Linked DNA regions of Arabidopsis thaliana. The protein of the gene in region 2 interacts with the protein of the main gene of each other region in a pairwise test. Each region holds a gene or a part of one and is shown on either strand. Other genes may lie near its edges. The genes, in order: AT3G24490, PIL1, PIF7 and ULT1.

Evidence for each region.
Region 1: the proteins of PIL1 (region 2) and AT3G24490 interact in a two-hybrid assay, tested with the Arabidopsis thaliana proteins (one large-scale study listed by BioGRID).
Region 3: the proteins of PIL1 (region 2) and PIF7 interact in a two-hybrid assay, tested with the Arabidopsis thaliana proteins (one large-scale study listed by BioGRID).
Region 4: the proteins of PIL1 (region 2) and ULT1 interact in a two-hybrid assay, tested with the Arabidopsis thaliana proteins (one large-scale study listed by BioGRID).

The regions. Positions count from the first base shown.
Region 1 is NC_003074.8:8,905,237-8,912,723, reverse strand, and holds AT3G24490 (Alcohol dehydrogenase transcription factor Myb/SANT-like family protein), read right to left. Parts: upstream 2,303-7,487; 5' UTR 1,703-2,302; coding exon 701-1,702; 3' UTR 501-700; downstream 1-500. Other genes in the region: MSH7 (MUTS homolog 7), read left to right, coding at 1-306.
Region 2 is NC_003071.7:19,293,804-19,301,870, forward strand, and holds PIL1 (phytochrome interacting factor 3-like 1), read right to left. Parts: upstream 4,056-8,067; 5' UTR 3,876-4,055; coding exon 3,802-3,875; intron 3,735-3,801; exon of another isoform or gene 3,719-3,734; coding exon of another isoform or gene 3,711-3,718; exon of another isoform or gene 3,628-3,710; coding exon 3,093-3,627; intron 3,012-3,092; coding exon 2,904-3,011; intron 2,816-2,903; coding exon 2,750-2,815; intron 2,645-2,749; coding exon 2,579-2,644; intron 2,216-2,578; coding exon 1,814-2,215; 3' UTR 1,628-1,813; downstream 1-1,627. Other genes in the region: CYP709B1 (cytochrome P450, family 709, subfamily B, polypeptide 1), read right to left, coding at 1-33, 133-409; ASY3 (asynaptic protein), read right to left, coding at 6,065-6,127, 6,223-6,314, 6,493-6,627, 7,100-7,158, 7,232-7,381, 7,464-7,533, 7,612-7,743, 7,848-7,995. UniProt on the Arabidopsis thaliana protein: Transcription factor. Involved in responses to transient and long-term shade. Required for the light-mediated inhibition of hypocotyl elongation. Necessary for rapid light-induced expression of the photomorphogenesis- and circadian-related gene APRR9.
Region 3 is NC_003076.8:24,636,405-24,643,940, forward strand, and holds PIF7 (phytochrome-interacting factor7), read right to left. Parts: upstream 4,362-7,536; 5' UTR 4,036-4,361; coding exon 4,034-4,035; exon of another isoform or gene 3,890-4,033; coding exon 3,469-3,889; intron 3,392-3,468; coding exon 3,287-3,391; intron 3,221-3,286; coding exon 3,155-3,220; intron 3,061-3,154; coding exon 2,677-3,060; intron 2,592-2,676; coding exon 2,469-2,591; 3' UTR 2,196-2,468; downstream 1-2,195. Other genes in the region: AT5G61260 (Plant calmodulin-binding protein-like protein), read left to right, coding at 705-2,195; AT5G61280 (Remorin family protein), read right to left, coding at 7,221-7,421, 7,508-7,536.
Region 4 is NC_003075.7:13,982,343-13,990,168, forward strand, and holds ULT1 (Developmental regulator, ULTRAPETALA), read left to right. Parts: upstream 1-2,680; 5' UTR 2,681-3,410; coding exon 3,411-3,697; intron 3,698-4,105; coding exon 4,106-4,450; intron 4,451-4,533; coding exon 4,534-4,708; 3' UTR 4,709-5,100; downstream 5,101-7,826. Other genes in the region: AT4G28170 (uncharacterized protein), read left to right, coding at 129-233; AT4G28180 (uncharacterized protein), read right to left, coding at 569-1,339; AT4G28200 (U3 small nucleolar RNA-associated-like protein), read right to left, coding at 5,466-5,546, 5,638-5,821, 5,896-6,068, 6,146-6,586, 6,913-7,587, 7,688-7,826. UniProt on the Arabidopsis thaliana protein: Putative transcription factor that acts as a key negative regulator of cell accumulation in shoot and floral meristems. Negatively regulates the size of the WUSCHEL (WUS)-expressing organizing center in inflorescence meristems.

The DNA.
Region 1 (7,487 bases), on a different chromosome or scaffold from region 2:
TACCGTTTAACCGAGGGAGCTTGTCCTGAGAGCTACGGACTTCAAGTGGCACTCATGGCTGGAATACCAAACCAAGTGGTTGAAACAGCATCAGGTGCTGCTCAAGCCATGAAGAGATCAATTGGGGAAAACTTCAAGTCAAGTGAGCTAAGATCTGAGTTCTCAAGTCTGCATGAAGACTGGCTCAAGTCATTGGTGGGTATTTCTCGAGTCGCCCACAACAATGCCCCCATTGGCGAAGATGACTACGACACTTTGTTTTGCTTATGGCATGAGATCAAATCCTCTTACTGTGTTCCCAAATAAATGGCTATGACATAACACTATCTGAAGCTCGTTAAGTCTTTTGCTTCTCTGATGTTTATTCCTCTTAAAAAATGCTTATATATCAAAAAATTGTTTCCTCGATTATAACAAGATTATATATGTATCTGTCGGTTTAGCTATGGTATATAATATATGTATGTTCATGAGATTGGTCAAGAGAAATACTCACAAACAGTATATTAAGAAGGAAATATGTTTATGCATTAATTTAAGTTTCAAGATAAACTGCAAATAACCTCGACTAAAGTTGCAAAGACCAAACACAAATTACAAAACTTATAAGACTTAAGTTCTGAATTCCCTAAAACCAAAAAAAAAAACAGAACATATTTTGTTGCATCTACAAACAACACAAACCTACATAGTTTATAACTTACTCATCACTGAGATTAACATCAGAATCATTCTCCATTTCTTCATCTTCACTCTCATCATCATCACCACCACCATGATGATTCTCCTCCTCTTCACGTAACCTAGCAATCTCACTCTGAGCTCTATCAACAATCTGCTTCTTCTGCAACTCCAAATCTCTCTGAAAATCAGCTCTCATCTTCTCCAACTCCTTCATTTGCTCTTTCTTACTCTTCTCCATCTTCTCATAAACCTTCCCAAACCTCTCAACAGAATCCGCCAACATCTTATACGAAGCAGCGTCATTAACCTTCTTCCTCTCGTACTCAACCTCATCATCCTCATCCTCCTCCTCTTCAGAATCACCAGGACTATCCATCATCTCATCAAACCCATTAGACTTATCTAAATAAACCTTAGTGTTCATAAACACAAACTCACCTGAATCAACACCACAAGCTAAACCTAAATCCGACTTGGGCGAAACACAAAGCAACATATCCAACTTATTGAAAAACGACCATTTACTTGAACCTAAACCTGATTTCTCAACCTTAATCTTCTCTTTTCTATACTTCCTCTTCAAGTCATCAATCATTCTCCTACATTGCGTCTCAGATTTCTCCATCCTTAGCTCCTCACTCACTTTCTCAGCTACTTCATTCCAATCCTCGTTCCTCAAACTCCTTCTACCCAATTGCAAAAACCTATCTCCCCAAACTTCAAGCAACACAAAAGCTTCTTGCTCTCTCCAATCATACGCAACTTTAGCATCACTAGGACCAGCAAATTCAAACCCAGAAACTACTTTGTTTGGTTTCTGTCTCTTCTGAAACCTCTCATTTCCACGAATGTATCCTCCTTGTGGATCTTCCTCTTCTCCTTCGACTTCATCTTCGTCTTCTTCTTCATTGTAATACGCGTGACGCTTAGGTATTGGTCTACTATACATTGGATGGTTTTGCCGATTCAAAGAGTAAAACTTTTTTGGGTATCCTGTTTCATCTTCGCTGTCACCCATCTTTGAGCAAAACCCAGAAAAGCAAAAGAAGAGAGAAGAAAGGCAGATCTAGGGTTTCAAATCGGACAGATAGAGATTTACCTGATTTTTGCACCTAATAGAGGAATATCTTGGAGGGTTTAGCTTTGAGAAGAGATAAGTAGAAGAAATTGATGAGGTTTATAAACCATGGCCGTGTCTAGGGTTAGGGATTTGCATTTTCAGCCGGGTCGGAGTAGAAGAAAAGCTACCACCACCGGTGAACATTGCCTCAGCCAGCGACGGAGTTTTGTCGCGGCGTTTGTTGGGACCATCCACTGGGTCATATTGGGCCAGTTTGGACAGCACTAATGGGCCAAGAGGACCACAATTATTTAATTTTAACCGATAGCCCAAGAGTTCCCAACTAAAACTAACGATCATTAAGAAAAGGAGAGTCTAAACTCTAACGAATATCAGCTTTGGTGTCGGTTAACTTATGACTTATGGGGTCAATTTCTGACATTTAGGGTCATAATATTTTGACCTTTAGCGTCATATTGGCTCAAAGGATTTGAAGCTGTCGATTTTTGGTGGGTTCGAAGATCTGCGAATGCAGTTACTGATCGACTAGCTAAAATGGGTGCCATTGAAACAATATGTTATTTTGATTCTCTGCTTTATATTCTTAAATATGCTACGTATGCTTTTAATTAATCTGAATAAGTTCAAAAATTAAAAAGGGCTAAGTTTTATTTTTCATATCACGGTGTTATTACTGAACTTGCAAGAGTTTAAGCTGCAAGAATATGAATTGCATAAGCATCTACTATGGGAGCCTCGGTTGTGGGAAATCTCCATGTGTCACATTATGATTCATACGTTTTTGAAAAATGTGAAAGTGTATCCCAACGATAATTCATTTAATACACTATGTAACGTATAATTTTTTAAATTATTAATGATGAAATCTTGTTTGAAGATGATAGTATTAAATTAAGTGGACTAAAATAGAGAAATGCCAGAACTCTTTATTTAATAATTGTTTGTTTCTGTGTTTTAATATAAATAAATGAATGTTATGCTTATTGCCAATGAAAATGTCGACCACGCTTCAATGTTGGTGAGTAATTATTATGCATCAAAAAGGAAGTAAGTATAACCTTAATGGAAATGATCATGGTAGTGATAAGGATCATAAATAATCGCAACGAATTTTGTTGCATCAATGCATCATACTATTGAATAACTAACACTAGTCTCGTACAATTTGATTTTAGGTGTTTAAATCTCGTTAGTGTAAATATAACGAGATAAACATTTACAATACAAAAAAAAAATTGAATTGTGTGACCTTGTAAGAACAGATTTTCGAAAAAAATTAAGAGTTGAGTCATTGATATGAAGAAGCTTCCAAGACAATGATATATGAATTGGTTAGAAACAAGAATTAATATTAATCATAACTCTTAAGTAACTCGGTCATTCCCACATTGACATAAGTAAAAAATAAATTTTAAAAGATTTGATACTTGAGTTTGGTATTCCTGCTAAGTAAAAAAAGAAGAAAAAGATTTGATACTTGAGTTGAGTTGGCATTGTGGACTTTAATTTCGTTTGAATCTCATTAACATGTTAGGCTTAATTATAATTAAACCTAGACGATTGACCTGTTTTGTGGGTAGATGTACCAATATATTTCAATGATTATAAAGGTTTAGTTTTGATCTCTAAATTTTCAATTTTTTTTAACAGTTTCATTTATAAAAAAAATTAATACAATTTTTTTATAAGAAAAACAGTATAGTTTAAAACAAGCTTTAAAAATTTCAAGTCTCAAATCAAATAAATAGAGATTGTTTTTTATGAGACAGTAAACACTACAACATCAACTTTCTTATAAAATATAACAAATTGTTTTACAAAATTCAGTAGGTAGAGTCAGACAGGTATGTATTCGTATAATTTTAACTTTTCAGATTTTTTTCATTAATGTAACTCATAAAACGTTTAAATAGATTAAACAGTGACATCTCATAATTACCTAATACTGATAAAGCAACAAACAATTTTAAGGTAATAATATAGTATTTTTATAAAACGGTTGAGCTAAATATTTGAGATACATACTCATTGTTCTTTAGTATCCAGTACTACTATTTACACAATCAACAAGAACAACAAAATTGTGATATATATTACAGTTCCTCCACATGAAAATAATAAAGTGAAGTAACGGTCCTAGGCTCCTAAACGGATATCTTGGGAGAGAGATGTGAACAAACTTGAAAATTCGTATGAAAGATTTTTGATAAGCCAATCATATTACATGTCACAAGATATCGATGAAGTGAAAATAAAAATGAAATTAGTATTTTATGGTTGGAAGGTCGCGTCGAGAACATAAGTGTAACGGAGAGAGAGAGTCAATGAGTGATCATAAAACCGTTACGAAGTTTCTCAAGTCTTTGACAACAATCTCTTTCAAACGCGTTATGAGTGGTTACGTTCGCTCACTCCAATGCCAACTATGTTGCTTTCACCAATTTTTTGTCTTTTGTCTTTACTTTGAGGCTTTGAGCATTTATTTCTTAATCTTTTATTTATTTTTATTTATTGATTTGACAAATATATAGTCCAAAAGTATCTTCGGTGATTTTTTTGGTAAGGGGATTCCTACGAAAGCAGGATGCTCTATTGCCAATAATATATATAGTTTAGTTAATTAATGAGGAAGTTTTTGGTCTAGTGTTAAAGATAAAATGTTTGCCAAAAAGTTGTAAAGCACTTTGATTTACATGAGATTCCAAATAGAAAAGACTTATTGGATGGAGAAGAAAAGAGAAATTGGTTATAAAGGATTTGATATTTAACCAAAATAAAAATTAAAAAACAAATTTGATGGGACACTGACTTGGTCTCTTGGTTAGAAGAAAAGAGATTTTGGATGGTCTGGTTGCTAGTAGATGATCTCAACCATAGTGGTCTGCTTCACCTCACTGGTCAAATGTTCATCTAAGCACTAAGATTTTGTATTTCTCTACGCAAGAACTTTTATTCTGTGTGAGCTTCCAGATTCATTAGTACTGGAAGGTAAAAGTAACTCTGATACATACTCAACTAGAGAATGAAGTTCACATATCTATAGAAGGATAGAAAATACAACTAATAGCAAATGATCATATACTCTAAGAAATAATTTCTTACCTCATAAGAAGATATGACAACCTTGTCATCTTCACAATTGCATGATATTTTCATAGTACATAATGTTACATACAATTATCAAAAATAGACTATAGAGTCTTTATTTTTTAAAAAAATCGCCAAATTTATAAAATTGTATGATTAGTTGGTGAAAAAAACAGAGATGGCTAGAGTGTATGAGAAACATAATGAAATGAATAATGAATTAACAAGTAACACTTGATGCACACACAAAAAAAAGAAAAAAAATCAAGGAACACTATTTTTTTGTCAATCATAATGCATTACAAATATAGAAAAGGTTTGTGGTGTATCATCCATTACAAGAACCCGATAATCCTAGAGATACAATAGCGTTATAGTAAATGTACATGAATATTTTGCTAATTGATCCGTCATTTACCATCGAATCTTCTAGGGTTTTTGAATTCTTGTGCATGGTTCTCATGAATCACATCTAGTCTATTAAGGAACATTATCTTCCTTATAATTACATTAACAAGACTAAGCATATAATAACAAAATACTTAATTTTATTTTATTCATTTTCTTTAAATTGAAAATGGCAGAAATAAAGATGTTGCATTGTTGGCTCAACAAGAGAAACTCGATAACCTATATTCAAATGTACAAATTATGTTTAAATAGTAATTAAAAGCATTTGGGTTCTTAAGATAATGAATGAATGTTCACACAGTATTTAGCGCACAATCAAGTGGACAAAAGACGTTGAAGACTTCATGGGAAACTTACCATGCGACCTACCTAGTTATTATAACTTCTTTCACTTGGCCTCCTCATATAGACGAAGCCGGTAACAGATGAAAATGTTGATCACCTCGTTCTATTATTTAAATCAAAAATTCATGACAAAATTTAACCGCATAGCATTGTTGATTTAACAAGAGAAGTGATAACCTAGATTCAAATGTATAATTTAGGTTTTAAGAGTAATTAGAAGCACTTGGTTTTTAAGAAAGTGAATGTTTGAGTATTAAAAATAGCAGTTGGTTTAAAATTTAAAAAGAATAAAACAGTACCAATCGTTAGATCATTATAGTTTTACTAGCATATTAAGAAGTGTTGCGAGATTTGTGATGAGAAAAATAGTGGTTACTTTCATATAAGCTCAGGTGAGAAATCTATATGTTTCTCCACGGAAAAGAATACTATGCATATTATGCATAATTTCCAAATTTATATACAATACGTACAAATCTAATAAAATAATCAAAAATATGTATATGTTTGCATGGTTCACTCTAGATCCTCCATACTAAGCTCCTTCATCAATCATCAACGGCTGATTTTTAGTGCAACACTTTCACCTTTTTCAATATTTTACACTGTAACAAGATCTGAATACTTGTATAATTCCTTCATATGGAGACACGATCTCGTGAATTAGTGAAGTTTGCATTATTTATGGGACCTTTTGGCCCACAAGAAAAAGTGTCAGGATACAAAACTTGTGTGTATAGGACGAGTTATACATACTTCTTAAACTAGTTTGAATGTTTAATATACGTCTCGACTCACTCTAGATGACTTCAATTCCTTCACATTGTTTTTCAACATAAAAAACATATGACTTCTTAAAAATACAAATTCAAATACTCTATTGTAATTCGGTTCTTACAATTCTTTTTGGCTATTGGCGAAATGTGCTCCTTTTGGCACGAATCATTAACATAACTTTATTTAAAAACTTCATAACGAATGTTTTACATGATGATGTACCATGGATACCAAGTAAATTTGAACAGAAGTGATTATGCAAAAGTAAAAAGCATATGGTTATTTTTCTACATATTTGTTTCGTTAAAGTAATATACTATTAAATTCGACTATCCAAAAATCGACACATGTCGGCGACCTAAAAGCCTCGAACATCCCGCTGGTCTATGAGAACATTACCTGATGTGTCAAAACGTCCCCACACGGTGTGCTTCATTGCGGCAATAACTAAGAAAAAGCTCCAAAAGCAAACTTAATTAGACAACTAATCTTTTGATTACTAAAGCGATTCGTTTGGTCCTCCTTCTAATGATTTTTATAAAACCTGGTAGTTAGGCTGTTAGGTGTCGCGAAATTCTTATAATTTATTATAAACCTTAATGGAGTCGGTTATCAAATTATTTGTATCCATGCTTTATAATAGTGTATGGGTTTGTAGAATGAATAAAAGATTCGAAAATGTATGGGTTTTATAATAGTGTTTTGGGTTTTTAAAACAGTGTTATACTTCTACATATCTTTTATGAAATCATAAATCTGCTGACTTAATTGTTTAGTGCTGCTCCTTGCCAAAGTTTCTGCCCGTGAAATGATAATGCTAGTGCTATAGAATTTGATAAATGTTTAGTAATATACATTAGAAAGTAGATATTATTATTAGGGTAAAACTAGGCTAATAGGCATTAATCATTCAGGTTATTATACGTGGATGTTGAACTCACAAAATGTTTACTAAAGATCGTTGGCATCAATATGTTTCGAAAGATTGCGAGCTTGCGCATCTCACCACCTAATGAAAAGCTGGTAGATAATCAGAGACATCACACATATATTCCCAAAACAGTACATGAACAATCATCACCGTAATCAGTCGAATATGTTT
Region 2 (8,067 bases):
GCTCTGTTCCGTTCCAGTAAAGAAAAGTCTCTCCTAATAATATATAACATAGATAACTTGTGTGTTACGCATTATCCTCGAATAAAATCTAAAATAAAAGATGAACAAAGAGAGAGTTGGAGAAAACGACACCGTATTGAGACATCCATTTTTGATAATGAGGAAGAATACGAGGGAAAATATCATTGGAGCTAGGATCAAGAATCGAAAGATGAGATTCTCTCTTCATCTTCTTTATCTCGCTGAGGTTTCCGTAAAAGATTCTGTAATTTGGGCCTGAGATTCCTTGGTTTTTGAGTCTTCTGGTCAACACAAATGGATGCCAAACAAGAATCATAAAAGCTTTGAATATCCTGAGACCAATAATAAGGATTAAGACAATTAGTGCCAAGAAAATTACGAGCCCCATGGAAAAGTTTTTTTTTCCTTATGTTTGTGTGTGTGTATTGTTGTTCTTGGTTAGGTGTTTTAAGTTCTACACTATATAATGACATGCACATATAACTTTGTAAAATAAGTCTATGGCCAGTGAATGAAACACTATCTAAACACTACATGAAGTTAGCACAAACACGTCTGTTTATTTTCAATTTGAGAACAAACAAAAAGTAATTAATAAAGTAAAATGTGTCTTATATATGGTATGATGATAGAGTAGATTCTAAATATGCCTATAGCACATATTTGTTACGTAATAAGACAATTATAGAAAGTATATAAAAAATGAGTGGATAAAAGAAAAATATAAAATTACTCATGAAAGCTAAGTAATCCTTTTGGGAGAATAATTTAGTTTTAGCATTCATTGTATCTTAGGTTTACTGTTTCTGTATCTTTAAAATAATCCGGCATGGACAATGAATCAATGATTTGTTGTTAACATATCATTGTGAACAAAATACTTGATGAACTAATTGTTTGGAGAGTTAATTTGGTATTTGAATTCAAACGAAAATGTTATAGAAATAGAAGTACAACATTGTGAAAATAAATAAACAAAGATGAGAGATATTTATCAACCAACGGTGCAATGTGATGGATCGTGACATCGAATCTTAAAATGAAACACTTTTTCGTTTGTTATCTACTTTTGCATGGTTTCATATTTAAAGGAAGTGGTTGAAATTTTATTTCTATACTAAAAGAATTGGTTTAGACTTAACTATCCACTTTCTTTAAGTATCATGTTAACTCATGAAATAAGAGTCATCTATTTTTAAAAGAGAATCTTCACATTGATTTCAAGTTTTCAACGCACCTGACGCTAAAATATCAGAAATTCAATGTGTGAGTCTCATCTTCATCACACTATTGCACTCCCTTGTTTTCGTGTTTGAAAAAGCCCAATTAATTTTTTAATGTTTGAAAAAAGAAAGAATAAAGTAGATATTAGTCCACTAAAAAGCCCATCAAGCCCAAGTTTTGTAGTACTTTACTCAATCTCATCATTGAGATTGTTCCTTAATCCCAAAAACATGGCAAAATTCGTTTCAAATTACGATTTAGGTCAAATGAGTTGTCTTCATCTTAGTTGGGTTTGCGTTAAAATCGGTTTATCGTAATTGAACACTCATCATCATCCATCATTATGCAATTGCACGTCCTCTACTTATAACTTTGTTATAGAGTCTATGATAACTTATATTTGTTATATTTTACTTTGTACATCCACTTTGAAAATAGTTGGAATTAAGTTCAAATCGTTCCAAGAATCAAGGCCCAAAAGCCCATAGACTAACAACACAGAGTAGACGATCATTTTTTTTTGCTTAAAGTTAGTTAGTTGGAGAAAACATCAACTTTCTACAAATCATTAGTTTGGCGAGCGATAATAACTAAAACCGTTGCTTCCTCTATATTGCATTGCATCTTCTAAGTTTGAGGCGGACGCAGACTTTGGGAATTGAGTAAAAGAAGTAGCCTGAGTCTGAGAAACACACGAAGGCACCACGAATGGCTGAGAGCAATTTTCCAATGGAGAAAAGATAGGAGTGTTTGGAATTAGTCCACTTGGGTGATTAAGAAAGCTTAGCATTTGTGGTGGTGCATTGTTCATCCCCGGAAAACCGGTTGCTTGAACATTCATAGGCAGGAATTGCGGTATTGATGTTGGTGTTGCTGCTGCACCCATATGCATTCCTAGACCCATGGGAGAGTAATGACCCATTGGCAACATCGTAGGTGGTCTTATTAATCCATTTCCCATACTCATCATCTGTAAATAATTATTAGAGCATGTTAATTAAGAATCTTATATATATGTAAAAAAATTTGTAGTAAAATAAATAAGGAATAAACTTTTGATTGTTTATTGATTAGTGTTTAATTACGTTTATAATTTGTTTTGGTTTCTCTTATGAAACTAGTTTCTAGTGACTTTATCAAGAATCATTCGTAAAGGTAAAAGCCAAACGCAATAATATTTGATAACAAAAACACTTTACAAAGTATATTTTAATGTTAAAAAACAAATTTATATGTAAATATAAACACAAGTCTGTGTTTAAATAATTAACACCTGAATCATTTTATTATCTCTCAATGAAATTTTATTGAATTGGTGTATTATTTTGAATACCTGAACTTGAAGTTGAAGGGTCCGCATATATTTGATAGCCTCATCCAACAATGAAGCCTTATCATCCTATCATCAACAATTACAGATATTCAGAAATCTCCACAAAGAGAAAATTAATTAACTCTCTAAGACTAAGTAAACAATGTAATGTGATTTAAGTTAATCTCAAACCTTGTAACAATTTGGTAGTAGGTCCTGCAAAGCACGCATTTTCTTGTTGAATTCATCTCTTCGTTTCTGTTAACAAATCCTTAATTAGCATTAATTTTCATACATTATTTTTTTTCTACTAACTAAGGTGAAATTTTCATACATATAAACTCACTCTTTCATATAACTTATGGACTTCTGTGCTTCGTTTTCTTTTAGTCACCGGCTTTCTTGTTCTCGCATGAACTTGTGTCTTCGCATCATCTGATTCATCATCTGAATTCTGCATAAGCAATAAGAAAAAGACAATTAATGATCTACCATGTGAAAGAACTAAGACAAGCAGCTAATTAATTTCTCTTACATTACTTAAATAGGTTGATTCTTCTTCTTCAATATCTCCATACTTCCTCTTTAAAGAACAACAACTTAGATCTCTCGAAGTTCCTCGAGAAAACTTCGATGAAGAAGCAAAATACAATTCCGTGGATCTACCAACAGCTGCAGATTGCTCATCAGGAGGAGCTGTAGTAACTTCAACATTCTTTGGACCTTTAGCAGAAACATCAATTAATGTTGATGATTCAACACATTTGTTGCTTTTCGAAACATTTCTCTCAAATTCGATTTTGGAGGACTTTAGCTTCTTCTTATTGTTGTTCATTTGTTCATTGGTTTCTTTATCTTGTTGTGGCTTAGACTGACTCACCGGAACAACTTGTGTGTCTCCAAGAATCTTGATGTTTTTCTTGAAACCCTCGCTGTACTCGGTCTCATACAAATCCAGGAGAGATTGCCTACGTTGCTTTTGAAAAGAACCGTTGTTCTTTGGTCTTCGAATCTTTGCAAGAATCTGCCCATTTTCACACACCAGCTCCATATAATCTTCATCTTTTAATCTGCAAGAAAAGAGTCACGTATAAATAACCTATTAACAAAAAAAAAATAGTCAGGAGAAGACAAAATTGTTTCAAGCACCGACAGAACCATAAGCGCCCATTATTTCAAAACCACGCATGTGTATATGTTTATAGAAGTCGCAAAAAGTGTAGATGAAACCATAATAAACTTACTTTGGTTTAATGTTTGATGATGGAGAAATCATGTTTGGTTCAGATGATGATGATGCTAAGGGTTTTGCTTCCATTGAAGTAAACTGAACAAAGCTTTCTTTACTTGTCTTTTTTTTTTTCCGGTTTTTGTGAATTGTAGAATCAGAGAGATTCGGACTTCACACTTTGGTTTTCTTTCTTGGGGTTAATGAAGAGCAGCATATATATATATATATAGTCGGTTGTATATATGTATATTCGCTTATTTCATTTATGATTGATTGATATGGAGGATTTGTTTTGGTCCACAACTCATATATTTATCCTTGAATCGTGATTATGACACAGTATGGAGAATTAGTACAAATTATTACCTTACAAACTTTGGTCGACTTCAAATGTTACATTTCAGATTTATAAAATTTACAGTTGCTTTTTTTTAATACAAAACGTATATATTTGTTTGTATATGTGAAATGAGTTTTCGCACGTTTTATAGAAAAAATATAATCATAAATTCATAATAACATAGACTATACTATATATACGCGATAAAGAGTAGTATAAGTATTCATGTTAATGTGTAAATCTTTCATTTTAAAACAAAAATATTGATGGAATAAATGAAAGAAGCAAGATAATGTATGGGCGATAGTGAAAGACAAAGAAATAGAGAGAGAGACATTCTTATGACCGACTTCTCTACTCTCCACCGCTCCATTTTTCTCTGCTTTCGGAAAAAGAATAGAAAAATTAAATAAAAATAAAGTCAAATCTACGATTGCAATTCCTTTTTTTTTTTTTTGTCTTCATCTAAAATGAGAAAATATTAAGCATGATCATTTTTTTAACGTCTGATCCGTGAATTTTACTTGAGCACAGTCAGATATATATATACATATATTTATATATGGTTTTGTGTATTTCCTTTTTATTTAAAAGGTCAGGAAAACACAATGTAGTAAATAGGAAAACACAAAAAAAATCACTCCCGATGATGCTCCAACAATAATGCAACTAGTATTGATTTTTTCGTCATGCAAATTCCTATAAGAACGTGTTCTTAGAAAGTTTAGGAATAAATTCCAAACTATGCAATGACAAAGCGTCCAACTGAACTTACTAAATAATCTCCAGTATTGGAACACACTATTTCTATATTATGTTCGTGTGTTATTTTTTTTATTGAAGATAAAAGTATTATCAATAAGTAATACGCATGTTCAATTGTTCACAATTAAAAAAGAAAGGTCAAAACTTAGGTAGACCGAAAAAAAATCAATAATGTTGTTATCAAAAATAAAACAAAACACTAGTAAAACTGTAGTGAGTGACATGCGAGAGAGACGGGCACAAAAGGCCCACGTGAGCGGAAAGAACCTTCACGCCATTATTAAGACATATATGGATGGGCCCTTTCTTAAAGGCTTTAGTTTTCTCTTTAAATGGGACCCACAATTAGGCTTTTTTTGGCCAAGTTCACGTGCACTTCACGTGAATGCCGCGTGATTCATCCACCCCTTTGTGTTATTTTGTCTCCCTCCCTTCTTTCTTGTTTGTTTCTAACGACTGCTACTATCTTGTCGTCTTCTCCATTTTTACCCTCTCGACACATTCTAAATTCTTTTACCGACCGTAAAAAAAGAATCCTCTGTGATTTGAGATCTCTCTATTTACAAACAAAATTATCTCTACCATGTTTTTATCATCACAGTAAAATTGTTGGGTCCAACATTTTATTTTCTGTTTCATTCGATTGATATCGAATTGTGACCATTCTTTGTTCAGTTTGGTTTTGATATTCAATATGAAATACATCTCTGTTAAAGTAAAATATTGTAATTAAAATTCACATCAACGTCTGCAAAATATTCTGGTTTTTAAAAGAAAAATGTTTGGATTGGTTTTGCTTCGATATATATCAAGATATCAATAACCTAATTAAAAGTTGTTGGTTTAATAAAAAATATCTGCAGTTGCTGGCAAAAATAAATTAAAAAGAAACCTTCAAACTGCTATATAAAATAAGGCTCTATGATATAAGTAGTTTTGTAGTGGTTCAGTGAACAATAAACTATTCTATACGAATACGAATCAATGACAATGAGTCAAAGCATCATCTACTATATCTTCTTTATTCGCCTGAACTCATGAGACCACTAAACCAAAGGCTGGTTTTGCTTGAGAGGTTTTTCTTTCCTGGTTAACACAGTTCGTCTAGTTTATGTTTTAAAATGGAGAATAACGACGTACGTGTGGTTGATTGATTCTGTGAGACTCAGTGTCAATCATCCCTCAAACATTCTGCGACAATCATCTTCAGCTGCAGCATCTTTCCTCTCGCAGACTGTAAACCAATACGTCATTTTTAAGTTGTGCTTTTGAATTCATGATTTAACCATTTTTAGAATCTGACTCTTAAGAAGCAGAACAATGACTTGCCTTGTTTACAGAATCGATTCTTTTGGTCGCATCGTCCAGTTTTGTCTCGATGCCTCCTTCAAAATGTGCAATGAGTTTTTGGTGTGATGTTCCTGTCATAGAGAGATAAAAAGTTATCAAGTGAGTTTAGGAAATACTTGTCCTCCTGCTATTATTATATTAAAACTATCTTGCCATGAAGAATCTAACTTTGATAACATCATATGTTTCAAGTATTTCTAGTGTTAGAATTCGTTGTAGTAAAAGCAGGAATTACAGAAGTTAACATACTTTGCTTCTTTATGCTTCCTTTCAGCTCTGACTGGTTTGCTTCAAGCTCTTCGATAGTACTCTTAAAATCTTCAAGATGATGGCTGACATCGTCCTTGAACTTTTCATGGATCATTCTCATTTTCTCTTCTTGCTCTGTTAGACGATTAGATATTATCAGTGAACACAATAGATCAGAACGGATCTTGCATATTTTTATTCAATGAGTGGAAATATGGAGACATTTCCAGACTCTCATGTTCCACAACAATACACAGCTCAATTTTTTATTATTCTCCACATAGGAATGAATTGAGCATTTAGCTTTGTCTTGATATAACTATGTTAAATGCAAGTTTCATGTCTATGTTAGAGCCGAAAGTATAGTTAGGTGTGTGTGTGTGTCTAATCAAAGAGACATGAAAGCACAAGAATGAAGCAAGATGGTGAGTACTTCAAGACTAAATGCAATCTAAAGAGTAATACTTGATATCAAATTTCCGATCTACTACCTTGAATCAGGATTAAACTGCAAAGATAGTATATTTGAACTTCTAAGCTTTCTTAATGTTCATGACTGTGAATTCGAGTACAGTATTAACTATTAAGATATAATGTGTTGATGTACCTTGTAATCTTGTTTCGGCATGCTTTCTCTTAGTTTTGGCTAGGTTACTTGTCTTTCCCCTGTACCATAATTAACAAGATCTTTGATTGATAATTTAAAAGAAAGAATGCAGAATAAATTATACAAACATACGCTTCTGTTATGATATGGGACTTGATATTCTCCAACTCCAGATGTATCTCCTCGGAGACTGATGCTATAATTTCTGAGGACTTCTTTTCAGCTGCAGATTTCAGTTTTCTCTCAAAGTTTTGAAGAGCCATAGCGAACAATGCAACAGCCCTGAGACATGGTAAATAATCAACTTAAGACAGGAACAAAGATTAAAGATAGACACGTAATATTAGTTATATCTACAAGAGACCTTCCCAAGCCTTCATCTTCATCCTCATCCATCTCTGAACAATGCTGGAAGGAATCAGTTTTATCGATCCCTGCTCAGTTTCCAGGACAAAACAAATGAGGGTGCAGTATATAAACCCACAACAGTGACATACAAATGAGCATTATACCTTTTGACAAAGGGGAGGGAGGACTTAACACGACACGTCCAATGCCCTTAAGGTTAGAGTTCCGTTTAACTGAGCTAGGGCCTAACATAGATCTCTCATTAGTCCAATTGGCAGTTTCTCTTTCTTCGGGGCCTGAATCAGAAGATCAATAGAATAAGCAAAACATGGATTCTGTTAAGAAGAAAATAAGATCCTCCAGTTTTTATATGGTCTAGGATAAGAATTAAGAAGCATACTGATGTTATGGCCTAACACTGGTGAATCTTCTCTTGAACCATCTGAGTCTCGCTCATCAGACGACGGATCAGACAGAACTAAATCTTCATTTGGCTCAGGAGAACTTTCTCTTCTGAAAGAATAATCTCTTTTCTTCTCCAAGAAATCCTGAAAATAAATAAGTAAACACAAAAGTCAAAGAGGAGTATATAAAGTCAATATGCAACTTAAGTATAGATA
Region 3 (7,536 bases), on a different chromosome or scaffold from region 2:
CTTCATATTTGTTTCCAACTAAAGATAATTTGGGAAAGCAATTTTCTGGTACACATATATACATTTTTCTCATATTTTACTGTTTTCTTTGTTTTTTCTCTCTTCTTATTCTGTGGAAATTCTCTGAGAGTTAGATTAGGCAGCAATCTAAAGGTATCTTTTTTCTTAATTCTTGATTTCTTTTTTGATATACGTTTTTGGTTATTTTTGTGTTTGTTTGAATTGTGAAACTGTTGGTAGGGTTTTAAGCGTGTGGAGTATTTATTGCGTTACTGTGTAGAAATTAGGTCATTGTCCTTCAATCTCGATCAGAAGTCAAATTTTTTATCTAAAAAAAGATCGGAGTTTTTTTCATTGTTTTGTAATACAAGTGATTAATTTTCGTAACGGATCATGATCAAAATTCAATTTTGTCGTTTAGGTATTAATGTCATTGATGATCAACGAGGAAATATACACATATTTGATCATGACTCTTAAAGTCAACATTTGTCCTTCTTTGAATGTATTGAGTCATCTTTGGTAGATTTTTGTCTAAAGATTTGTTCTTTATGATGTCAAATTCTAGAATCTGATTAGTGAATAGGTAATAAAAGACAAAGAATCAGTTTAGAATCCATTAAATTGTTCTAATATGCTCTGTTCATAAACGTCGAGATCTTTTTGGTAATGCACTCTGTTTCCTCTACAGGTTTATTTTGTCAATGGCTGAAGAGAATACTTCAGAGGTCAAAGATATTGAGAATTCTTCCGATACAAACCCTCCGAAGATGTCTGAAGAAGGCTCTTTGGAAACAGTACGTGTAAAGGATGTGGAAAATGTGGAAGATGTTATAGCTGTGGTAGCCAAGGATCAAGAAGAGATTATACCAGAGATTATTGAAGTGCCTAAGCCTCAAGGTGGGACTTTGAGACGCCATTCGACTGGAACGATAAGTAAACCGCAGGTTCAGTCCCGTTATCGTGGGAATCATCGTGTGGGTTCGACTCATGATTTATGTAAACATGGGAAGAAATGTGATCAAGATGATGCTGTGAAGCCGTGGAAGATTGCAAGGAGAAAGAGTGTTGAAGGTTCAGTTGTGATCAAAGTTGAGACACCAAGTTCGACAAGGAAGTCATTGGGGAGTGTGAGTAGACAGAGTCCAGGTATAACCAAACCGGATAGTTCTGTTTCTGCAAAGAGAGATGCCTTGGCTGTGAAGAAAAAACCATGTGCTTCTGTGAATTCAGAATCTAGCTCCAAAGAAGGTAGTGAGATAGCGAAATCTGTTGATGGTTTAAGCGTTAAAAGCAATGATAGAGCGCGGAAGAATAAAGAAACCGAGAGTGGTCTGAGTGGTTCAGCTGTTGTTAAGAAGGTTCCTGCCTTGAGAACTGATAAGTCAAGTACTTCTACGGGCGTTGGAAGTTCTAAGGTTTGTGCTCCAAAGAATCTGAAGAATGTGGAGAAGGCAAAGACGACTCAGACAATTAGCGGTGAAGATGTAAAAGAAAAGACTGTGTGTGTTGTTGAATCTAGCGTCAAAGGTGTTAAGAGTGAAAAGCAACCATCATCTGAGAAGAAAACCATGAAAAGTGGGAATAAAAGCTTGAGTACTACTCCTAAACGTGGTTCTAGTCCTACAAAACAGATTCCTGGTAAAATCAGTACCGGTTTGACTAAGAAGAAAGAAACTGGCTCTGCAGACGTTGTTGAAGCAAATCCAAAACCGGAGAAGAAGGTTAGGCCTAAGAAGACAGGAGTAAAGGTGAGTCTAGCTCAGCAGATGACTTTCAAGAAAGGAAAGGTTCTTGATCCTAAACCCGAGGATTCTTCTCCGAGATGGATCAAGTTCAAAAAGAGGGTGGTGCAGGAACTGAAAACGCAATCCGAAGGGAAGAAGAAGAATCTTAAAGATAGAAGATTGGGTGTTGAGACGAAAACAGATTCTTGTGAAGGAAGTAAACGTGAGAAAGTTGTTCTGAGGCATCGAAAAGTAGAAGGGAAGAAGAAAATGATAACATTGTTTAACAATGTGATTGAGGAGACAGTGAATAAGCTAACAAAGGTGAGGAAGCACAAAGTGAAAGCTCTTATTGGTGCTTTTGAAACTGTTATCTCTCTTCAGGACACTAATAAGACATCTCACAAACCTCAGAGCAAGGCCACAACATCTGCTTCTAAGGTTAGACCTTTGGTCTCCGAACAATGAAAGAAAGAAAAAAAGACAAAAGTTTATTTGTGCATATGATCTATTAACATTGAAGATTTTAAACTTCAAGAGCGACCAAGAGATAATTTTCTTGTTACTGTCCTCGAAATAGCAAAGGGTTTAGTAATGTACTTTGACAGTTACTGAATTCAGTTGTGAAGCTTTCAAGTTTTATCTGCAAGTCTTTTTCCATACTCAAAACAGTTTTTACAATCATGATACAACAATCTTTCAAGAACTATATATATGGATCAATAATACTAGGTCGCTAGACTAATCTCTTTTCTCATGATTCGAAGAACTTGAAGGCATGCCGATATTTACCTTTGTTGTTTGATCAGACTGTTGTCTATAGATAGCTGCTGCCATTTTATTGTAGAGATCCATATTCATTGTCTGCATCAGCATGGCCAATGGAAGTGAGCTCAAGATTTGTATATCTTTGAACACTTTTCTCGAAAACAGTTAAAAGCGGTCTTACCTGTGCGAAAAAGGCGCTGTATGGATCAGATAATGTGGCTGAAGAACCGTTGGTGCAGTCTCTGTTACCCATAGGAGGGACCATCATTGGTGGAGGAGGAGGAGGAGGAACTAAACCTCCATAACCATTTCCACCACCTCCCATTCCCATTCTTGCCATTGTTGCAAGCAACGACATCTGAAACTGTTGCTGCTGTTGTTGCTGCTGCTGCTGCTGTTGTTGTTGTTGTTGTTGGTGTTGGATGCTGAGAACTGACTGTGGTGGAGGTAGTTGCGGAATCATCATTTGTTGTGGCAAGTTGGCTCTTAGGCTCATGAACTGTACTTGTGCTTGTAGCTGTTTCAAGTGTTCGATAACATCATCCAAGATTGAGACTTTATCCGCCTGCAATATCCGAATAACGCGTTTAAACTGACCGATATCAATATAAACAAAGTTCTTAAACTTAAAAGTGGGTTCTTCTAGGATAGACATTTACCTTACTTGCAGTAGGAAGCAGCTTCTGAAGTGTTCTCATCCTCTGGTTTATCCTATCACGCCGTCTCTGCATCAAAACTCAGAGTCAGTAGTTTGGTAATCACGGAAAGAGAAAAGATGGATTAGTTTTTACCCTTTCGGACTCGTTGTGAATCGCTGCTGCTCGTCCCCGTCGTCCATTAGATCTACCTGCTTCTCCTCTTGTCTCTTGTTCATCTCCTTCAGTATCTTGAGTTTCCTATTAAAGTCCTCTTTTGGTTATTTCTCCAGTCATCTTTCAGGAAAAAAAGGAAGAGTAATTTTGTTAGTTGTTACCGATCCAGAGCGGAAATAGTCTCTGTCTCCGGTTCTAGCTGTCTTCAAGCTCCGACCGGATTCAAAAGACGCCCAAGACATATTGGTACCACTCGCACTTGCAGTGACGCTGTGGCCAACTCTATGGCTCTCCTCTTGAACAGCGAACCATCGGTCCATTTCTTGAGGATAACCGCGTTTTCTTGAACAAGATCCATCCTTGCTCTCATAATTGTGGTTTGGACCATTCGGACTCTGCAGCTGAAACTTGCTTGGCTGCTGTAGAGCCGCTTGATGAACCACAGACTCCAAAGTCTCACAACCGTTGAGACTTTGAGTCCAAATAGGGTTATTCGAGGTGGTTGGTTCTACTTCGTCGCCTAGACCATGAACGGTTAGTTGCCCATTTTCCCATGTGAGCTCTTTAACTCCATAATTCGACCTGAGTCACGAAAAAAAAGAAATTGGTTTTGTGTTAAGACTTAAGAGAGAGAGAGAGATAAACAAAAAAGGACAGAAGCGTAAGGTTTTGTCTCTTTTTGGTGTAAACAGAGAAGAGTTCTTTATCAGAAACAGAGAGAGATACATGTGTTACTTAGGCCGCACGTTTGCAGAGAATAAACTGACAATTAAGCTCTCTTTTTTTTTGTTCTCTCTATTATTGGACCTTCTCTCTTCTCTCTTTCTTCTTGCTTGAAATGTTGAGTTCTTCTTTCTTCTTTGTGTGTTCAAACTCTTGACAATCACAGCGACAACTCATGCGGTGTATCTGCCTTTGATCCATATTGAAAGTTATAATAAAGAGGCCTCTCTCTCTCTCTCTTCTTGTCTCCTCTTTCTCAAAAATGGTCCCTGCAAAACGTCAAATGGTTTTTATGTGGACGAAGCACATGTGTGGCAAAGGATTGTTTGTGTTTTGCCACTCAAGTCCAGAATCATCTCTCCTGCTTAAGGAAAAAAAAAACTAATAAAATGAGGGCATTTTCGTCATTTCTTCACAACCGACTCACATTGACATGAATGTGTTATTGCATGCATTTGACTACTCGGTAGAAAGCATAGCAAAGCAAAGCGTGTGATTCACCGATTTAGAAACAAACACATTTCTAATAATAGAATTTATTATTATTATTTAAAAATGTAAATTTTTATCGTTATACAGTATAATAAACGTAGTTGAAATATATACATATATGTAGACGCATTAAAGAATAGAAAACAAGATATATTTATTGGAGTAAACACGTAAGAATCCGAAACTATAGTATGGTATTCGAATGTCAAAAATGAGAGTGAGATGTGAGGTTGATGCATCAACTAGAGATATTTGATGCAAGTTGCTAGGAATCAATCAATATGTTCTCACTTCTCAGCCTCTTTTAATCACTTCTTTAATTTTTCTCTGTCCATTCCCATCTCACAATATATCAAATGACTTGTTCATATGATCACCATAAAAACATTTTTAAAAAGTAAAAAAAAAAGAAAAGCATTTTTAAGAAGTTCATTTTACAAAAAGTAATGTATGGGAAGAAAGTTTCTAGTCTACCATGGGAGAAAGAAGAACAAGAATAAGAAGAAGTTTTTTAGATTTCTCAAAGAGATATCTCATTGATTTCCATGAATAATTGAAGCAAAGATTGTTCTTACTTGTTTCTTAAAATGACATATTATGTTTTTCAAATTTTGATTTCTTACTGTAGTTAGTGTTTATATTGCTATCTAAGATATTTTTATATGTACTCTTCAAAATGGAGCATCACTTATTAAATTTCTTATAGGACCTCATGTGCACTGGTCCAGAGATTACCTAATACATAGCCGTCTAGGTAGTTTTGTACGTAAATAGGTAAAAATAGACGACTTTTTCAATCATTGGTTCAGTACTTTTGTATCAGATTGGTTACAACTTGCAACCATAAGTTGAGGCTTATAAGCCTTGTTTGTAGTGGAACAACAAGTTGATATGAATGAAATATGTGATGTTGAGTCAGAAGAAAAGAATACGAAAACTATAAAGTACAGAGAAATGGATAAATACGGATCAACCCCTTTGTATTGTGAGATTTTCTTTCCCAATCATTTGATGTCACATCAAAATCTTAAGTGATTTCACCCACTCCGCTCTCGAGTTACGGCCGACAGCTTCAAAACTGATGTCGTCATAATGACACGTGGAAAGATCTTATTGGATGGTTTTTTGGGACCCAGTGTTGATCTGTGAAATTCAGCCAATCAACTTCTCGCATTAGATTCTTGACAGCGAATCCTAACGCTCCTCAGAGTTATCTGTTCAATTTCAAGCTTTTTTTTTTCTTTGATGTTCAAACTCTCTTTTATACGAATTAGATTCTTCACATCAATTGTTTTCTGCTAATCATTTGATTTATGATAACTTATTCTTTGATCACTAGTTGATGGTAATGACTGTATTGACCAAATGATGTTATAGATTTACATAAAACTAAAAAATAAATAAATAAAAAATACATTAAACTACAAATTAAAATTAAATGTCACTGTCAATGTTCTTTTGATATTTGAATGTACTCTTTCAATTAACACTCGTAGTTTTCCGTGAGACTTTACAAATTTGCCTATGCAACTCAACACAAACCCGAAAAACAATTGTTACTTATCAAAATTAAAGAATATTAATATGGTTTCAATTTATCATAACAAGTTTTAGCTAGAATCCTAAAGTCGTCACTTTTGTAATATAAAAGCAGAGGACATGCATGTGTTCATGTATGTGTGCGTACGTGTGAGAGATAAAGAGGTAGATAAAAAGTGAAGAGATTGAAAGCTTGATTGAGCAAAGTTTAATCAGTGGATCTTCCGAAGAATTTTTAGGATTTATTTTAAGGATTCGTACTTGTTAACTATTCATGTGTTCTTTCATTTCAAGTTTCTATTTTTCTTAAGTCTTTCAAGAACACACGAGTTTAACAAAGTGAGAAAGATAGCTTTTATATAAGAAGAAAACATCATATTTATCAAGTTAAGTGAGTTCTACTTTTAACTAGGTAACTATGAGAAAGTTATATAGAATGTATTATGTTTATAAATGTATATAACATTTGAATTCATTACAAGGTCACGCAACGCGTATCCATGGCATAGGATCGGTGAACTTACTCTTTGCATCATAAATTGAAAGGACACACATCAATAGTTGGTGAATAAAATTTAAATCGTCGAAATTCTATTGATTGAGACTTGTACAACGACAATATATATTACAAATTTTCCTAATAAGAAGAGAGGATAGTAAATGTGAATGGTCCTGGCCACCACATAGGTGTTGCTACGTACCAATGGAGAAAGAAACTTCGGGTAAGAGAGTAACTTGGTTGGACCAAAGAATGCCTCATTTTCCTTTTGAGAGCATATCACAAATTGAGTTTAACGATCTATCAAAATCCTTTATGGTCCCTTTTTGGTGTTTACTCGTCTATAATATGATACATTTCATGTGTGAAATATGGTCGAGAGCGTGTGTAAACATCGACTATCACATCAATATTTGATTTTTATGGAGTATAACTCCATTTTATTATGATATTTGACATAACAATTAAAGCTTAAGAATTAGACAGATCTTTAGAAAAGAAAAGAAAATAGGGAATTAGGTTGAGAGACAATTGAAAACTGCAATATTATCCATGGTGATGATATCTACCAAAATTTATAATTATAGGTACTTACTCTTTATTTATGATTTGAGTTTAACACATACAAATATAGTTTCATTGATATAAGTAATTTTGATTTTAGTAACACCGAAAGCAGAAATAATTATTAGGAACTTTCCCTGTTCGACTCATTTTCTTTACTTTTCCATGAACTTGAGCTTCTTTGCTCCTTCTCTTCTCCTCAAGCTGTTTCTTGGCTCCATCAGCTATTAGTTGAATCCTTGCTAATTTTGACTTATAATGCTGATTATTAATCCCTTTTCTCTTCTCCAATTCACTCTTTATAAAACAAAATAATATATTAGCTAGTCGTCTGAATTATATGCATTAAAAAAAAATGTTTATTCACTAGATAATGAAATAACCTTTCTTTTCTCCATTAACAGTGTAGCTG
Region 4 (7,826 bases), on a different chromosome or scaffold from region 2:
GAGGTTTGAATATAAGCAGAGTAGAAAATAAGATATGTTTAGAGGAATTCACTACCTATTTGTCGACACACTAGTTGTCTTTTGTGAGATGATGATGTCATGTATAATCTTGTGTTGTTTATTTGCAGATGGATGTGTGTAAAAGAGAGATATCGGTGTTGATGCCTGGAGAAGATGTCCCAACGTTCATTGCTCAGCCATGTCCTCCCTCATCATCATCAAGCTCTTTCTGAAACCTTCTTTCATCTCATTAAGTAGGACTTTTTATCAGACAAGTGTTTATGTAGTCAAGTGTTGTTAAACAGAACAGTGTTTCTCTGTTTGTGTCTGCTTATCCCATAGCAAAAGAGCAGCAATCTCCATAAAATAAAAAGCCATGGAATTTGTGAGCGTTGTTGCGTAGGCTTGCCTTTTACTTTACGAGTCCACAATAAACAAACCAAAAACGAAGATCCGCATAAGATTTGGTTAATAATTATACATTCCGCAATTTACAAATCAAAAAAAGGGAAAGAAAAAAAACAATCAATCACATCAGAGTTAATAATGATGAAAGGAGAAGAGATCATCAGAGAAAGATGAAGCATTCCATGGACACTTCAGGGTCTCTCACAGCTGTTACATCTTCTTCCTTCTTTACCTCAGCAGTTACTTTCTCCGTTTCTTCTTCCTTCTTCTTCACCTCTGTTGCTCCGTCTTTCTCCGGAGCTCCTACTCGTTTCTTCATGGGGCTTCTTCTTGCAGAACTCGGGGCACGAGTGGCTGGAGACTGTGAGCGACGCCTCGGATTATCCGATAACCCGCTCCGTGGGAGTGGACCCGAATCCACATTTCGCCGGTTGTGAGTAGGGTTTGGTTGACGAGACTGTCTCTCTCGGACTAACCTAGGACGGAGCTGCTTCCCCTGAGGAGAATGTCGTTCTGCCGGAGATCTGAGGACTCTGTCAGGCCTGTTACGGCGAGAGGTGGAAGAAGAAGGAGGAGGAGGACGGTGAGGTTTGCTGAGAGCATCGTCTTCGAGGATGGACGCAGCGGTAGCAGTTGTGGCAGTGGAGTAGCTGTGAGAGACAGAGACGCTGCAAATGTCGGACTTGCTGTGAGAGATCTCCGGAGCTGGAGGTGAGAGAGGAAGAGGAACTTGAGCTTCTGAATCTGAGACTGTTGGTGCGGAAGGAACGAGGTCGGGGACTGGGACAGGGACGGAGATGGGTATGGGGACGGAGACAGAGACTGATTGAACAACGACTTCTTTGACGGATTCTTCTTCGAGGGGTGGAGGAATTTGAGCGGCGGCGACTGGTGGAGCTGTGACTTTTCCGGCGCTGAAGCAGCATCCCATTTTCTTTCTACTTTTGCTAATTCCTCTCTCTCTCTCACTCTGCTCTCTCGAGAGTCGCGAGTCATATACTTGTCAACTTTAATGGGCCTCTTTCTCATGTTGGCCCATATTCACTATGGGCTCGATTATGCTCTTTTGTTTTATCCACTTTGATAAAGAATCTGATATTTGTCTCATTCATTCATATCTTCAAAGACAAAACGCTAGTGTTTGATTTTCTTTAAAATATTCAAAAGAAAATTATGCGGATGGACAAATATCTCGTTAGATAGCGACCCATCATCGTTGGGATAATTTCAACACACAACTGCCGATTGCCTTGGACAGGGACACCGGACATGTAACGACAGTAAGTAAAATGCTTAATACTTATACTACCAACATCTTCCTTTTGGTCGTCAAAAATGTAGTTGAAGATAAGAACTGACCATCATTTTTTAGCTCATCATCCATCCACTATGTTGCATTTACCTCATTGTTGAATAAGAACGCGTTGAGCAAGCTACTTTTTCATCTTTAGTTGGTTTTGTGTTAAATAAAACTTGAAGTGGAAAGAACCTAACATCGTTGCTGCAAACTTGATATTCGAATATTTATAACCACCATCTTAAAAACAAAAACAAAATATGAGAAGTTTAAAAACATGACAAAACTTTGAGTAGAAATCAGAAAGGGGCCAAGGCTCGTAAACTTCTAAACCCCAAGCCCATAATAAATGTTTTGAATCCATAAGTTCACTCCCATCCGCTACTCTTTTTTTCAGTTTCTTGGGAACAACTAGGAGGAAAGAGAGTTTTTAAAGTTCAAAGTAAAGATGTTGTTATACAAAAATTGTGTTGACAACTTATTCATATTCATGTCTCTGTAAAGATGTTGACATAATTATTTCACTTTCTTCAAAAAAAAAAACTGGCGACATTTTCTTTAATTCTCATTTATCCATTATGTACTTTTTGTTTTTGTTTTGCAACCCATCCATTGTGTATGTACTTAAGATAACAACAACAACAAATATACCATATATAAATCATATGGTCTACATACAACACTAGTATCCTCATCCGTATTAAAAAAATGAGTTCCTCGAACACATATAGCTACAAATATAGAGATATGACTTTGGGGTTTGAGCGCATTGCAGAATACCTAACAGGCATAGATGTCAATGACGTCGTCGTCATGTACTTGGTTACTAGTTGTTTTATAGACAACTAGTTGATTAAACCTTTTCTTTTAACAATTAAACAAACCAACCTTTATATATTTCTTCAACTTTTATTTTATATAAAAAAATAGCCAATAGGTGTGGTGGTGAAATGACTCGGTAACCAATGAATCCTGGTGAAAGGGAAGAGCCAAGAATTTGCAGAACCTCAAAGGAAAAAAAAAGGACCTTTGAAAATTACAAAATCAAGAACTTCTTGAAAAGAAGTAAGTACAAGAAATAGAAAAAGGAGTTATGACATTATAAAACCAAAGAGGAACCTGAAACAATTGACACAACCCTATTCCTCAACTTCTTCTCTCTTATGTCTTATCAAAAGCCTCTCACCCACCGCCTCTGTTCCTGCTCCTCTTATCAACCATAGAAATTCTCTCTCTCTTCCCTATATACAATACAATGTTATGTAGGTGATACATACTATAACATAGTTGTATATAAACATTAATATAATGGAGAGGTCCCATGCCCCCACGAGTTTTGTTTTGTTGGCCAGCTAATTCGCATCCTTTTTGTTTTGTTTGTATAAGAGAGTTTCTTTGTTACTTACTATAACCACAAGACCACAAGAAGGCCAAAGAGAGGCTAAACTAAAAGAGCTCTCTTTCTAATTTATTTCTCTCTCTTCTCTTCTCCCGAAAAGCCCTTAATAAGCTTTTGCTTTGATATCAGATCTCTCTTACGGCTTTTGAGATGCGTGCTCCTTTAGGGCTTTCCTTTTATACCCCAAAACGAGGCCTTTCCTTCTTCTCTCATCTCCTAATTCTACCCTCTTCCTCTTCCTCTTCCTTCTCTCTCTCTTCTCATTCTCCTCATACGCTATAAGGAGAAAATCTCAGAGAGAGAGTGATGGCGAACAATGAGGGAGAGATGCAATGTGGGTCCATGTTGTTTAAGCAAGAGGAGCTACAAGAGATGAGTGGGGTCAATGTTGGTGGCGATTACGTTGAGGTCATGTGTGGTTGTACCAGTCACCGATACGGCGATGCTGTTGCTAGACTTAGGGTTTTCCCCACCGGTGACCTTGAAATCACCTGCGAATGCACACCTGGTTGCGATGAAGGTCTCTCTTTTTTTGTCTCTACTGTCTCTTTCTCGTGTCTTTCTGATGCTTTTGGGAAAATGGGTTTTGATTTGTGTGCATGTTACATGTGAATGTGTGTGAGATTAAACGTTTGTCTCTGTCTAGCTACTATCACATTGGGCTGGTAAAGCTAGGGTCTTTAGCATGATTACATATTTATCAATGAGTCTTAGTGTATGCTAGCTAGATCCGTTCTTGTAGAAAATGAAATGACTTGATTTGCCACAGTAATGTTTTAGGCTGTCTGTTTATCTGTAAATGGTAATGCGTCTCTTTGTTACTGGCCAAGTGGTAGCTTTATTGACAAATGATATGTCTCGCTTAGCTGTACGTGTATGTCAAAGTTTGATGCAACCTAGTTCTTGTGGTATCTTGTAGCTAACAATTCCATCTCTAGCTTATTTGGTATAGATGCTCATTTAGAGCTCTCTTTGAAAGTAAAAGTGACTGACTTGAACAGTTTTGATTGTATGATGCTAGACAAGTTGACACCAGCTGCATTCGAGAAGCATTCTGGAAGAGAAACGGCAAGGAAGTGGAAAAACAATGTGTGGGTTATCATTGGGGGCGAAAAGGTTCCATTGTCAAAGACAGTATTGCTCAAGTACTACAATGAATCATCAAAGAAGTGCAGTAGATCAAACAGATCACAAGGTGCCAAAGTTTGCCATAGAGATGAGTTTGTTGGGTGTAACGATTGTGGTAAAGAGAGGAGGTTCAGGCTGAGGAGCAGAGACGAATGCCGCTTGCACCACAATGCAATGGGTGATCCAAACTGGAAATGCTCAGATTTCCCATACGACAAGTAGGTGTCTTTTGTTGTCCTTGTATGTACTTAAGTTTGATGCAAATGATGTATTATATCAATGAATGGTGTGGTGGTCGTAGGATAACATGTGAGGAGGAAGAAGAGAGAGGGAGCAGGAAGGTGTACAGAGGGTGCACACGTTCACCTAGTTGCAAAGGCTGCACTTCCTGCGTCTGTTTTGGCTGCGAGTTATGCCGTTTCTCTGAGTGTACTTGCCAGACTTGTGTCGACTTCACCAGCAATGTCAAAGCTTGAAGAAGGCAGTCCATTAAGAAAAGAAAAAAAAATGTCTGTCTCAGACTTTGTTCGTTGCATTTAATAACTTATTCTAAAACTCCAAACAGTTAATTATCTTATCTATGGGTTGTGAATGGAGCAATTGAAAAAAAAGTAGAAAAAGTTGATTTCCAAGAAGAACATGCAGACGAGCATGCCTGAGTTTAGTGCATGTCTAGATTTTTGGCTAGTGGCAGGGAAAAGTGTTATTAATAGTTTGTTGTTACTCTTTATTTTATTAGCTGTTGACAGCTTTGTGAGACGAAGTTGTCAATGGCACAGCTACTCGGTCTGTGATTTAGCCATTTAGGAGATGGGACATGGAAAGAGACATTTTCTTAATACCCAAAAAGCCCTGACGTCTTGTTTTGAACACAGTAACCATATGGGATCCCTTAAGTGATGTATACTTTTATTATCAACAACAAACATTAGAATCATAAAGACCAAGTCGTCACCAGGTAAAGAGGATACGAGAATAAATTCATCAGAAACATGTGAAACATGTGAAACGTGAAACCAAAGACGTAGAGGCATGTATGAACTTCAACATGTTTTTGTATCAAAAAAGTGTTTTAGAGTATAACTAGACTCATAAAGTAGTACATCGACTCCTGTTCTGTTACAACCAAAATTCATATCTTAAGGATCACATAACTGAAACCTGCATCCACAAATACGAGGCAAACATAGTGTTTCCTTCATCATACATACTAGACTACCTATAAATCAGAGATCAAACTATGAAATCCGCGGATTCATTCAGAGTCTTTCTCGCACGCCAATACACTCCATTGGCTGTCTCTGATGTTCCCAGCTGCAATAAACATCAGAAAGATTGTCAGTTAGCATACTTGACACTAAGTCATAGTATTGGTTTTGGTCAGGGTATTAAGAATCCACTTTACCTTTGTCTCCAATGAGTAGTAATTCTTCCACAGCTCCACGTCTTGACCGTAACTTGCAACAGCAGAATCATACAGCTTCCGGGCATTACTGAGACCATCTTTATCACCTACTGATATGAGGTTGGTCTCTATTTCAATGCAACCTTTGTATAGAACAAGACTGGGACCAGGAAGAGCCAAGAACCTGCAGTTTTACGGTAACAGTGGTGAGAATAAAGTCCATGTGTGACTCAAGGGACTGGAGGAGTAGTGACTCACCTCTTGTATATCTTCCTCGCACTGTGGGCCCCTTTTGTTTCAAGAACAAATTTCACCACTGTGGAAGCAAGAGAAAACACATGGTCGCTCCCATGGCTTTTGGTTGCTGATAGGATGGACATCTCTACAAGTTTGTCCAAATAAGTTCGCTGATGAGCAAAGAAATTAAAAGCCTGCAATACAATAAGCATTTTATTAGTGTAGTCTTAACAAACTAGTGTATTGTCTAGAAAATATATTAGTCACATACCATTAGCCACAAGCTCTCAGATTCTGAGATCGGTACTTTCCTCAAAGCATTTGAAAGGAGCTCAAAGACTGTCTGAAAATCTGCTTTACTAGGAGATGAGTTCTCTGAAAGTGATCTTATTTCAATGGAAACTCTTGAAAGCCACAACTTAGCTGATCCAGCAAATTTTTCAGAGCAGAGCTTTTCTGCTAGCTTCTGAGCTTCATGAGTCTTTTCCAGTTTCAAGTACAGAGAAACATATTCATCAGCAAGCTCTTCAGTCAAACAGCCAGTTTCATCAGCCTTTTGGTACACGTTTATGATATGTGAAATGATCGGATTAGACAAAGAGGAGATTTCATTCTCGTCGCCGTTTGACTGTACAATAGCCTCCATCAGAAAATTTATATAAATCTCAAACATAGAACTTGACGTAACAGTTTGCAAGCCTTCTTCAAAAACCTGCATTCAGGGGACAAGATTTAAGACCTATCAGATATTGTACTTTCTAGTTTCTACTACTAAGCCGAAACAGATTGTGGTAAAGCAAGTTAGTATAGTCCTAAAGAAAAGCCCCCCCATAACCAATGTTCCACCTGTCCTCTCCGACATTATTAAACTAGGCAATTTGACTTCAGGTTCAAACCAAAAAGAGTGAGCGTAAAATCAAGACTAAAGATTTGATCTATGTTAAGGAAATGCAGCACAACTATGGCCGCCACATTCTTTAACAGATTTCAGCATTTAATAAATTTCTAACCCCTAGTCATAAGTTAAGATTTGTTTACCTGAATAGCCTTTTGCATTTGAGGATTTGCAAACTCTAGGCCTGCCTCATTGCTAATACAACCACTCATTTCATGTCTTGCAAGCCAATTCCAGTATTCAGGTTCATTGCAAAAATCACGCTTCAGGTCACTTAGAATGGTATTGCGCATTTCATCTGAATGCGCTAAGTCTGTTGCCTCTAGAATCTCCAAAAAACGCTTCCTCAAGTCAAAACTAGATGGAATAGCCTCAACGGCTCCACTATAGATGGTCTGAAGAACATTGGACCCTTTCTCTTTTAAGAAATCAACTTTCTCAGTCACATCCTCAACATCTTCGACAATAGAGTCCTCGTCATTCTCTTCTTTTTCATTTCCTTCTTTCTCATCTAGCGACATAAATAACTCTTTGTTCTCATCTTTCCATTGCTCATCCTCAACGGTTTTCGTGTCACGCACCAAACTTCCTTTATCTTCACCAAGGGCAACTTTACGAGCTTTCAGCTTATTTAGAAAAGTAAGTTCCATTCGCAGATACTCAACCCACAGGTCTTCAGAGTTTGAACACACTCTCAGCCCATTCAGCATAAGAGCACGAGCTGCTGTAACATTCAAGTTTCTATCAAATTCCCAAGATGCAGCATATATCCACACTCCAGCCACTTTTGGATGAAACCTTATTGCTTGAGCCAATGCCTACACATGTTTCAGATAATATAAACGCAATTAAACATCGACATATACCCACCAAAGACAAATCATTAACAAAGCAACCAGCAAATTTCAAATCTTTTACCTTTTTCATTCTTCCATGCCTCTTCTGTTTACAAAACTCGAGATACCTAAACCACAAATTGATATCACCTTTATACCTCATCGTCGCCAATCTATAAATCTCAACAATCCTAGCCACACCGGCGAAATCAGATACTGAT